Linked DNA regions of Saccharomyces cerevisiae S288C. Each later gene encodes a partner of the first gene's protein in a complex. Each region holds a gene or a part of one and is shown in the gene's direction. Other genes may lie near its edges. The genes, in order: RSM18, MRPS16, MRP17 and VAR1.

What was found.
Region 2: RSM18 (region 1) and MRPS16 share a complex: the UniProt entries of both Saccharomyces cerevisiae proteins name them as parts of the mitochondrial small ribosomal subunit.
Region 3: RSM18 (region 1) and MRP17 share a complex: the UniProt entries of both Saccharomyces cerevisiae proteins name them as parts of the mitochondrial small ribosomal subunit.
Region 4: RSM18 (region 1) and VAR1 share a complex: the UniProt entries of both Saccharomyces cerevisiae proteins name them as parts of the mitochondrial small ribosomal subunit.

Annotation. Positions count from the first base shown.
Region 1 is NC_001137.3:253,443-256,345, reverse strand, and holds RSM18 (mitochondrial 37S ribosomal protein bS18m RSM18), read left to right. Parts: upstream 1-1,958; coding exon 1,959-2,375; downstream 2,376-2,903. Other genes in the region: JHD1 ([Histone H3]-lysine-36 demethylase), read right to left, coding at 212-1,690; TPA1 (oxidative DNA demethylase), read right to left, coding at 2,684-2,903. UniProt on the Saccharomyces cerevisiae protein: Component of the mitochondrial ribosome (mitoribosome), a dedicated translation machinery responsible for the synthesis of mitochondrial genome-encoded proteins, including at least some of the essential transmembrane subunits of the mitochondrial respiratory chain.
Region 2 is NC_001148.4:528,459-531,118, reverse strand, and holds MRPS16 (mitochondrial 37S ribosomal protein bS16m MRPS16), read left to right. Parts: upstream 1-1,768; coding exon 1,769-2,134; downstream 2,135-2,660. Other genes in the region: mRNA-binding protein RRP12, read right to left, coding at 1-1,396; CIP1 (Cip1p), read right to left, coding at 2,427-2,660. UniProt on the Saccharomyces cerevisiae protein: Component of the mitochondrial ribosome (mitoribosome), a dedicated translation machinery responsible for the synthesis of mitochondrial genome-encoded proteins, including at least some of the essential transmembrane subunits of the mitochondrial respiratory chain.
Region 3 is NC_001143.9:436,597-439,052, reverse strand, and holds MRP17 (mitochondrial 37S ribosomal protein bS6m MRP17), read left to right. Parts: upstream 1-1,560; coding exon 1,561-1,956; downstream 1,957-2,456. Other genes in the region: MET14 (adenylyl-sulfate kinase), read left to right, coding at 1-276; ESCRT-III subunit protein DID4, read right to left, coding at 509-1,147, 1,216-1,275; AUR1 (inositol phosphorylceramide synthase), read right to left, coding at 2,268-2,456. UniProt on the Saccharomyces cerevisiae protein: Component of the mitochondrial ribosome (mitoribosome), a dedicated translation machinery responsible for the synthesis of mitochondrial genome-encoded proteins, including at least some of the essential transmembrane subunits of the mitochondrial respiratory chain.
Region 4 is NC_001224.1:46,918-50,710, forward strand, and holds VAR1 (mitochondrial 37S ribosomal protein VAR1), read left to right. Parts: upstream 1-1,983; coding exon 1,984-3,180; downstream 3,181-3,793. Other genes in the region: OLI1 (F0 ATP synthase subunit c), read left to right, coding at 1-36. UniProt on the Saccharomyces cerevisiae protein: Component of the mitochondrial ribosome (mitoribosome), a dedicated translation machinery responsible for the synthesis of mitochondrial genome-encoded proteins, including at least some of the essential transmembrane subunits of the mitochondrial respiratory chain.

The DNA of each region.
Region 1 (2,903 bases):
GAATATTAATTTTCCCTTTATATATATATATATATATATATACGCGCACATATATTTACATATATATTAATGTTTTGTAACCTATATTGGGGCGATTATTCCCTAAATGTAATGTCAGGGTTATACTGTATCAATTGCTAAAGTAGATCTCATTCATCGAGAGCATAGGATGAAATAAAAGATACAAGAACGTGGCGGACAAGAAGAAATTTTACGAAATAAGATCGGCTAAAGCTTTCGCTAAATGCTTCTTTGAAGTGAAATTTAACGGCTTGTACTTAACTTCAGGTTTTATAACGTATGCATGAAGTGATTGAATTGCGCAATTAGTGGTCCTGGAAAGCAAATCCCCATCACTGACATCACTAGTGATTTTATTTTTATCAAGCGCAAGATACTCGCATAATTTACCCATCACTTGATCAAACTTCGGGAAGGTAAATCTTCTAGGAACCTTTGTTAACTTTTCAATTTCCACAATTTTAAGGTGTGTCTCCAAATCACGGATGGTTAAAAAGTTGCCTCCAAATACCAAAGAGTCTACTGGTGTATAAACTGCATGAATATATCCAGCTGGAATCATAAACAAATCACCAGCATCTAATTCCATCGCAATACCATCCTCAAGAATATCACCGAGGAAAACACTATTTTGGTCTTCTTTTAAAGACCACTCAATATACTTATCTATGTTTGATTGGGTAGGTGGAAATAATAAAAACTTCTTCTGTCCTGAGATAACGTTATAATAAACAGAGGTACCGGCAAAATCCAAATGAAAATCCGTATAAGCATCCTTTACAGACATCAAAATATATTTGGTCACTTTTGGCTTGGGGTCATTCTCCTCCGCCTTCTCCCCATTGACTTTTTCTAAATGTCCATTGAAACTCCAAATTTTATCAACAAGATCATTCTGCCTAACTGCAGTGGGCCTCTCTAGTTCTAATCCCTCAATATTAGAGACTTCTAATGATATAACATTCCTTATTCGATCCCTCCTGTCTGGTTCAGTATTTGTAAAATATTCATTCCAAGATCCCAAGTTCCAATTTTCATTCATTTGTGATTGAACGTCCATTACATCAACATGATAATCCTCGCCTATCATTTCGGTGATATAATTAACTGTGAGGCATCCATTGTCTGTGCCCACATTCGGTACATATACTCCGCTATTCAGTGGATCGATGATCTTGTACGGCACATCTATATTATCAAACTTTTCAGCAAAGTCAGCGGCGTTTATAATATTTGAGCCATTTTTCCATTTTTCAAAAGATTTCATGAAACTCTCCTTATGAGGGTGATTCATTTTATCCCTTTTCGATTCACCCTCATTCAAAGCGATATAGTCAAGTAATTTCTTCTTTCTGAAATTATACCGCTTATTTATATGACTATCTTCAGGGTTTTCTTTATTCCTTTGCCGCTTTCCTTTTTGTGTGATGAGAGCGTATGCGGTAAGATATTCTCCTTCCTTATGATTAGGACAACGGTAGCTCTTGATTTGCTTCGCAGAATTTGGATAAGACAGAACTTCAGAACTTGTAAGATTTGAATAGTGAATGCGTTTCAAAGGCACGCATTTCACGTGGACCCACTGCGGGCAACTATCACACTTCACCCAAATTAATGCGCCTGGATTATCCTTCAACTGGCAATGCTGGCAAATATTGGGATCTTGCATTGCACCATAGCTTATTAGTATTTTGTTTTATGATCATTACGTCTTCTTACTCATTATAATCACCCACTTCTATTAGATGTTCTATTATGCCTTTAAATTGCATTGTAGGGTAACCTGTTGGGGGAAAAAATATCTAGGATTACTTTACATACTTAAATATGAGTCCATTATTAACAGTGTTACAGTTCTAACCAAAAAGGCAAGGTTCTACACAAAACTTCGGATGTTCAAGATGAATGCCACCACAGGCATAAAAATTCAAAACGGTATGCAACCTATCATCAAGGGAGCAGTAAGCTCCACATTTAAACGTGCTCTATACAATTTCGGTATCAAAGAAAAGAAGAGTGTCAATATTGAAATGGGGAGAACGCAACAAACAAAGAAAATCGATCAGTCTTTGTCCAAAAAACTTCCCAAAGGTACTATCTACGATCCATTTGACTTCTCTATGGGACGAATCCATTTAGATAGAAAATATCAGGCAAACAAGAACTCAAACAGGAACGATATAATGAAGTCCGGTGCAAATCCACTAGAATTTTATGCAAGACCAAGAATACTTTCAAGATATGTGACCTCCACGGGAAGAATCCAACATAGGGATATCACAGGCTTATCGGCAAAGAATCAAAGAAGACTATCGAAAGCCATTAGACGGTGCCAGGCAATAGGATTAATGTGAACTGTACTACACTAATGCTTCTCCACATGAAATAATTAAGAAAATAAGGCATTTCATAGTTCTGTCTGTAAATATACAATATGTAAAAAGAATCGCAATTAGATCTTAAGTTAAACTTATATTCATTCTTATATTTCTTTAATATACCCGTTTTATTCGCTTACTCGAATTTGGATTATGGTAATGATATTCACGCCAGAGGAATAAGCTGAAATTGACGAATAACTTTTCAAATAATTTTATTACTTCTATTATACAACTTTATAAATATCTAAGCTGCCATTTACTTAATAAGACGGGTTAATTGTTTACGCTTCATCTTCCTGACCATCTTCATCACATGATTTGACATCCCACTTCATTTTGACATCCCATCTACTAGATTTAGCGCTCCAGCTGACGTACTTAACAAACTCCAAAACACTTTCATCTCTCAAGACCAAATTGAAAGTATTCCAAGCAGGTGGATCATTAATCAATACTGAATCACCACTGTCATCCGCACGATAAACAGAAGCGTCTTCAACG
Region 2 (2,660 bases), on another chromosome or scaffold:
CATTTACTCTCCATGTATCGACTATTTTCAGTGATTTTAAAAAGTGAGGATTAGATCTATATCTGAATTTGTTGAATGCTGCCACCAAAATCTTAAGAATTTCTCTGGAACAATGGGAATATCTAATGGATAAAAAGTCGATAAATGTTTTCGCAATTTGAGAGATGATTTCATCTACGTTTTTGAAAACTTTCTCATCCACACTTGGTGTATACAATAACAAATCATCTTTAACAGACTCAGAAAGGATTGAGATAAGACATTGAGAGGCAGCTTGGTACACTTCTGGAGTTTCACTAGCTAAATATGTGCACATAATGTGAAATACACCAGGAATTTTACGTAGCGCTTTCAGTGGTTGATGTGTTGCGTAAGTGGACATACCCTTAATGACCACAGCAATCCAGGACTTGGTTAATAATGTATCGACATTTGAGGGTTTTAATGCAAAAATGGTATCCAAGACTCTTAGGTACTTATTTTCAGCCAATCCAGAAGAAATGGTAGTTTCTGCCATTGTTTTGAACATGCTTTCAAAACATTCAAATGATGCAGAAACGAGATATTGCTCTGAGCTTTTGGTGACTCCCAATAGTACATCACAAAGAGGCTCAATCTGTGAAGATGGCCACTGTCCAGTAGAGACGACTGAAGTAATCAACCTTAGAGAGCGCATGACACTAGCGTTAATGTCTTCCTTTGTTTTCTGTGCTTTCAATTGTTTATTTGATAAATTCGAGAGATCATTTAAAATACCTGCTAACTGCTTGTCACAGAAATCTGCTACAAAAACTGCCGCTACATGCTCTGCAGTTGGTGCAACAGGAGGGTTTAATAAGACCGCATGAACTGCATCTAGCGCTCTCTTTCTAACTTTTGGTCTTACATCTAAAGAAAGTTCAAGTATACCCTGCAAACCTCTTTTTGGAGTGACGTTTAGATCATAAGTATTGTTCCAGGCTTGTGCATCTTGAGCAATAAGAAGAGATTCTAAACAACCAATAGCAGCTCTAATTAGAGGGGCATTAGCCTTTTCTGCAGTGATACATGGGGCAATTTTCGTTAGGATTTCAGAAAACTTCGATCTTAATAATACCTTAGGCGAATAATGAAATATCAGATCTAGAAGATATGTAGATGAGGAAGCCAATTGAATATCTTTTATTTCATGAGTAGATGGGTCTACTGCTTGATCCAATAGTGACATAAAGGAAATGATATAATTTACAATGTTTTTTGAAACATCATTTGTAGCTTGACCTGCAATATTTTCCTCAACGGCAGTTAATATTATAGCAATATGCTTTTGATTCTCCAATTTAGAGTTTACTTGGGAACGAATTTTAGCCAGCTTGTCCTCCAGCTCTAAAAGAAAAGCAACTTTGTCTTGATCCATGATGAACTCTGAGATTTGCTGATTCAATTCGCGAGATGCTGTTCAAAATCTAGAAATTACCTGGTTGAATTCAATCAGTAAAAAAATAAGTTGAACCTTTTCAAACTAAAACTCTTCTCTGAGAGAATTAACTGCGACCGAGGAAGTTCTAATTGCGCGATGAGATGAGATGATATAATTAAAATTTTAAACACTGCAGCGAAAAGAAAAATTTTCACTAATTATGATCATCTATCATTCAGGACGGAAAAAATGAAATAGTACACCAAGAACAGTTGTAAGAAAAAAGGAAGGGGAATATATACACGACTTAAGTAACGGAGGAGTTCTGACTGGTATTCCGTTAAGAAATTGTAATAGAGTTTATCAAGTATGACCTGTGGTCTAGTACGAATAAGGTTAGCTAGATTTGGAAGAAAAAATAGTCCGGTCTATAATATCGTAGTGGCTAATTCCCGTAAGGCGAGGGATGCTAAACCGATCGAGGTACTAGGAACCTACGTGCCGGTACCCAGCCCAGTGACCAAGAGAGAATTGAAGAGGGGCGTTGTACCTATTAAAGACGTGAAGCTTGATTTTGATAGAACAAAATATTGGATTGGTGTGGGAGCACAACCTAGCGAAACAGTTACTAAACTATTACGAAAGGCTGGTATATTAAATGATGCATGGGCCACTAGTAAGAACAGCAATGTGAATAGGAAAGTTGTATTTGAAAGAATGGAAACATTGGAGTGAAAAAGATCGGAAAAAAAAAAAAAAAGAAAAAGAAAGGAAAGCAAAGGAACGTGTTTTAATTGATGCGAGGTGTATATGTATATGTTGTATATATGTTTTACTTGGCGCTTTTATATCTATCAGACTTGTAAATAATACATCTATGGCCAACCAGAAAATGGAGAATGAGACTTGAAATGGAATAAATTAAATTCTTAATCGAATGTGAAGAAAAGAGAAAGTGTAATAGAATTTCATTAAGATAGTGTCATTATAGGTCATGTATTGTGTGCTCCTGACTGTTCGGCACTATTTACCTTTTAAGACGCAATAAATCTCTTTTTAGCTTCAATGATTCATTTGGTAAAATAGAGGATTCTTCAGTGGACACGTTTGCTGTAGGTAAACGAGTACTAGCTAAGGGGGACGATATGATATTGCTACGTTGTCTCGATAGCAGAGCTATGTTAAAATTAAATGCGGAATCTGTTGTAGGCGTTGGCGTGAGTAAAGAAAAGGCATTACTGTTGCTAACACTATTGTTAGA
Region 3 (2,456 bases), on another chromosome or scaffold:
GATAGAGCTCGTGAACTACATAAGGAGGCTGGTTTGAAGTTCATTGAAATATTTGTTGATGTTCCATTAGAAGTCGCTGAGCAAAGGGACCCTAAGGGTTTATACAAGAAAGCTAGGGAGGGTGTAATCAAGGAGTTTACAGGTATTTCTGCCCCATATGAAGCGCCAAAAGCTCCAGAGCTACATTTGAGAACCGACCAGAAGACGGTTGAAGAATGTGCTACCATTATTTATGAGTACTTAATCAGTGAAAAAATCATCCGTAAGCATTTGTAATTTGACCGATTACTGTACATTTAATGATATATAAAAGATGTATATATATAATATAGAACATATTTATTCGAGGATTCATTCGAAAAAAAAAGAAAACTTTAGTGACGAGATTGAGTAAAGTGAAAAACTGAACAAATTTTCGGAAGCCTTTTGATTCTAAGTGCCTACTTTGATATCAGTAGTTGATGTATTATAGTATAGACCTATTATTCATTAAATATACTCAGAGCGCTCAAGTCTGCTTCTTCAAAGTGTTCAACCGAGCTTGCAAGTCATCGTCAGGATTACCGTGAAATTCTGATCCGGCGCCAATAGGTTCAGGAATCCCCATCGCTGTTTCTGCGATCGGCGCATTAGAAACCAGATTTTGAGGCGTGCTTTGCAACTGTGAATTCAAATCCACTCCAATCTCATCAAGAACTTTATTTACAATTTCGTCAGCTTCTTCGTCTTCATCCACCTCATCACCCATGACGTTATCAATAGCTTCGTCCATGAATTCCTGTCGTTGACCCATCAAATCACTCTGCTTTTCAAACTCCATCGATATCCTTTGCAACTGAGGTAGATTCATTGTTCTGTTCATTCCAGCCAAAAGACCAGTGGCCTCGCTCATAGAACGTGTCATTTGGTCACTACTTCGAACGGCCTGTATTCTCAATGATATCGCCTGAAGTTGAGCTTTCATGTTGTCAAATTTTTGGATGTAATTCCGGGTTCTTACTAAATCTTTTGCTTGAACTTTCGCAGCTGCAACTTGCCCATTCTTTGCCGATTTTTTAATTTCTGATACAAGTTTTTTATCTTGTAGTTCCAATTTTCTCTTTTCTCTTTCAAGCTCCCTCTGAGTCCTTTCTAAAGCCCTTTGATTCTAAAAACTCAAATAATTAACGTTAGTATGTTCACTAAAATAACTGATCCAAATACAGAACAACATACTTTTTTTAACCTCTCTTGCGGAGTGACATTCTTTCCAAATACCCACTCAAACAAACTCATTGTTTAACGTTCTGTGTCCAAGGGTGAAACAATCAGCCTTGAAGTACACTGGTCACAAATACGCTTCAACTGAATACGCATAATTCGAAAGGATGATTTCTGATTAGGAGGAGACGAAGTCCCTTTAATGCTGATTTTATCTATCTTTTCGCAGTTATCATCTAACCCGGAAAAGTTTCAACAAGACTTTAGCCTTTTAATGGAAACTCCCACTAGTTCAGCTTAAACAAAATAGAAAAGCTTCAACAGAGGAAAGAATAACGCAAAACCACCCTTTTCACTAAGATGCTTTATGAGCTGATCGGACTTGTTCGCATAACCAACTCCAATGCGCCAAAGTTGGAAGCAAAAGAATTGTCTTCCACAATCGGGAAACTGATTATTCAAAACAGAGGTGTGGTGAGGGACATTGTACCCATGGGCATAAGGTATCTTCCTAAAATAATGAAGAAAGACCAGGAAAAACATTTTCGAGCATATCACTTTTTAATGCTGTTTGATTCATCAGCTGCGGTACAGTCTGAAATTCTAAGAACTTTAAAGAAAGATCCCCGTGTCATAAGATCATCCATCGTTAAAGTTGATTTAGATAAGCAGCTGGATAGAGCCTCATCGTTACACCGTTCTTTGGGGAAGAAGTCTATTTTAGAATTAGTGAATGAAGATTATCAATCCATTTAGGTATAGCGCACAGGTTTTGACTGGGGACGCTACAAACACATGTAAATACATACATATCTTTCATACACATATAATAAACAAAGCAGGAAGAGCATTCTAAAAGCCTCACTTAACATAGACACCATTAAAAGCCACCCATTTATTTCAAAAATTTATAAAATTCTAAAGATAATCAGTGGTATGTGATTAAATAAACTACATGTATATTATGCTAAACGACAATCCTGACTAAGAAAAAGAAAGAAAAAGATATATATTTATATGTATCTACATAAGACCAACCGTATCCGTAATTGCAGATAAAATACTCATTAAGCCCTCTTTACACCTAGTGACGTTATAGACGTGGCGGACGAACGAGAAACAGAAGTAGATCCATCAAATAACGAAGGGCTTACACTGGGTTCATCAGTCATATTAAGATCAAAGTCAAGTTCCAAGTTGGACAAAGGGACACTTTCGATATCGTTTGAATCTGCAGCCAATGGATCACTCTTTGA
Region 4 (3,793 bases), on another chromosome or scaffold:
TTAATGGTTTCATTCTTATTATTATTCGGTGTATAATATATATAATATATTATAAATAAATAAAAAATAATGAAATTAATAAAAAAATAAAATAAAATAAAATCTCATTTGATTAAATTAATAACATTCTTATAATTATATAATTATTATAAAATATATAAATATTATAATAATAATAATATATATAAATTATAATAAAAAATAATAATAATATATAATATACCTTTTTTTTAATATATTAATATATAAATAAATAAATAATGGATAATATATAATTACTTTTTTTATATTATTAATAATAATAATTTATAAATATTGTTATAATAAACATTTATATAAATAAATATAAATTACCATAATAAGATATATTATTTATTAATAATAAAAATATTTATTAATAAATAAGAAATATATATATTATGATAATATTTATTAATAAATAATAAATTCTTTATATATAAATATATTAAATATATTTAATTGAACACAATATAATTTTTATTGTATTATTCATTTAATAATATTAATATTAATATTAATATAATATTAGTGAACATCTCCTTTCGGGGTTCCGGCTCCCGTGGCCGGGCCCCGGAACTATTAATATTTAATAAAATATATATAATTTATAATTTTCATATAATTAATATAATAATTAGGTTTATAAATAAATTATAATATATTATAACAATATAATAAAATATATTATAAATCTATCTATCTATCTATATAATATATAAATTTATATATACATTAATAATATTTAATTATAATTATTTAAATATTTAATTTATTAATATTCCCCGCGGGCGCCAATCCGGTTGTTCACCGGATTGGTCCCGCGGGGTTTATATTATTTAAATATTAAATATTAAATAATAATTTATATTATATTAATAAATATAATAAATTAAAAATATATGATTAATTATATAATAATAATAATAATTATTTTAATATTATAATTTATAAAATTAATTATATTAATTATATTAATTCTTATTATATAATAATTATTAATAATAATTTATTTTAAGAAAGGAGTGAGGGACCCCCTCCCGTTAGGGAGGGGGACCGAACCCCGAAGGAGAAAATAAATTAATAAAAGTTTAAAAGTTCTTATATTAATAATTATATAATATTATATTAAAGATTTTTATAATATATATATATAATATATTTATAGTTCCGGGGCCCGGCCACGGGAGCCGGAACCCCGAAAGGAGTTTATTTAATATTTATATTTATATTAATATTTATATTTATATTTATATTCCTCTTAAGGATGGTTGACTGAGTGGTTTAAAGTGTGATATTTGAGCTATCATTAGTCTTTATTGGCTACGTAGGTTCAAATCCTACATCATCCGTAATAATACATATATATAATAATAATTTTAATATTATTCCTATAAAAATAAAATAAATAAATAAATAATAATAATTAATTAATTAATTAATTTTAATAAATATAAAATATATAAAAATAATAATAATAATAATTATTATTTTAATAATATTATTTATATAATAGTCCGGTCCGACCCTTTTTATTCTTAAGAAGGGATTTTATTTTATTAATTAATAATAATATATTAAAAATTATAAATAATTAATAATTCTTTATATTTATATATATATATATATATTTATATATTTATATATATATTTTAATAATATTATGATATATTTTATTTTAATAATATTTTTATTTTTATATATAAAATTATAATATTTTATTTTATAAATTATTTATATATAAATTATTAATAATAATTATTTTTTTTTATTTGGGATTTATATTATTATTATAAAGAATATAATGTTATTAATAACTGCAAAAAATATCTAATATATTATTATTTATAATAATAAATAATATTATAATAAGGATGCATATTATATATATATATATATTTCTATTTATATTAATATTAATATTAATATGTATATATAATAGATAAAAAGTAAAAATAAAAAATAATGAAATTAAAATTATTAAATATAATTTTATCAATAATAAATAAACTTAATAATAATAATAATATTATTATTAATAATCTATTAGATTCATTAATAAATAAGAAATTATTATTAAAGAATATATTATTAGATATAAATAATAAAAAAATAAATAATATAAAAAGAATATTAAATAATAATAATATAAACCCCGCGGGCGCCAATCCGGTTGTTCACCGGATTGGTCCCGCGGGGAATATTAATAATAAATTACAACATTTAAATAATATAAATAATTGAAATCTACAAATTTATAATTATAATAAAAATATAGAAATTATAAATACTATAAATGATAAATTAATTAATAAATTATTATATAAAATAATAACTTTAAAATTAAATAATATAAATATTAATAAAATTATTATAAGTAAACTTATTAATCAACATAGTTTAAATAAATTAAATATTAAATTTTATTATTATAATAATGATATTAATAATAATAATAATAATAATAATAATAATTATTATATAAATATAATAAATAAATTAATAAATATTATAAATAATAATATAAATAATAATTTATGTAATATTTTAAGTTATTATTATAAAAAAAAAGTAACTATTGAACCTATTAAATTATCATATATTTATTTAAATAGTGATATTTTTAGTAAATATATTAGTTTAAATGATATAGATAAATATAATAATGGTATCTTAACTAATTATCAACGTATATTAAATAATATTATGCCTAAATTAAATGATCATAATATTTCTATAAATTATATTAATAATATTAATAATATTAATAATAATAAATATAATAATATAATTAATTTATTAAATAATAATAATAATATTAATAATAATAATAATTATAATAATAATAATAATAATTATATTGGTAATATTAATAATATTTATAATAATATAACTATTGATAATATTCCTATAGATATTTTAATATATAAATATTTAGTTGGTTGATCTATTAAATTTAAAGGTAGATTAAGTAATAATAATGGTAGAACTAGTACACTTAATTTATTAAATGGTACTTTTAATAATAAAAAATATTTATGAAGTAATATTAATAATAATTATAAATTAAATTATATCCCTTCTAATCATAATTTATATAATAATTCTAATATTAATAAAAATGGTAAATATAATATTAAAGTTAAATTAAACTTTATTTAATATATATATTAATAGTTCCGGGGCCCGGCCACGGGAGCCGGAACCCCGAAAGGAGAAATAAAATAAATATAATAAATAAAATAAATAAATAAATAATATATATATATATATAAATATATAAAATAATATTTACTTTTTATATATATATAATTATATATAAATAAAATATAATATAATATCATATAATTATATAAAAATAAAATTATAATTTATTTATATTAAAAATATTAATTAATTAATTTTTTTATATAATTATTATAATAATAATTTAATTAAAAATAAATATCAAATAAAATTATAAATTAATCCTACTTTTGGATCCTATTTATATTTTATTATTATAAATAATTATTATTGATAGTTAATTAAATAAAAATATATATATATATTACTCCTTCGGGGTCCGCCCCGCAGGGGGCGGGCCGGACTATTATAATTATTATTAATATATTAATTATTAAATTATATAAACCGCCCCCGCGGGGGCGGTTAGTTATTTATATTAATATATTTTATATTAATATATAATACTCTTTTTTCTATTATATTTTAATATATAATATTAAAAAAAATAAATAAAATAATATTCTTAATTTTTATTCTTTATCTTCTT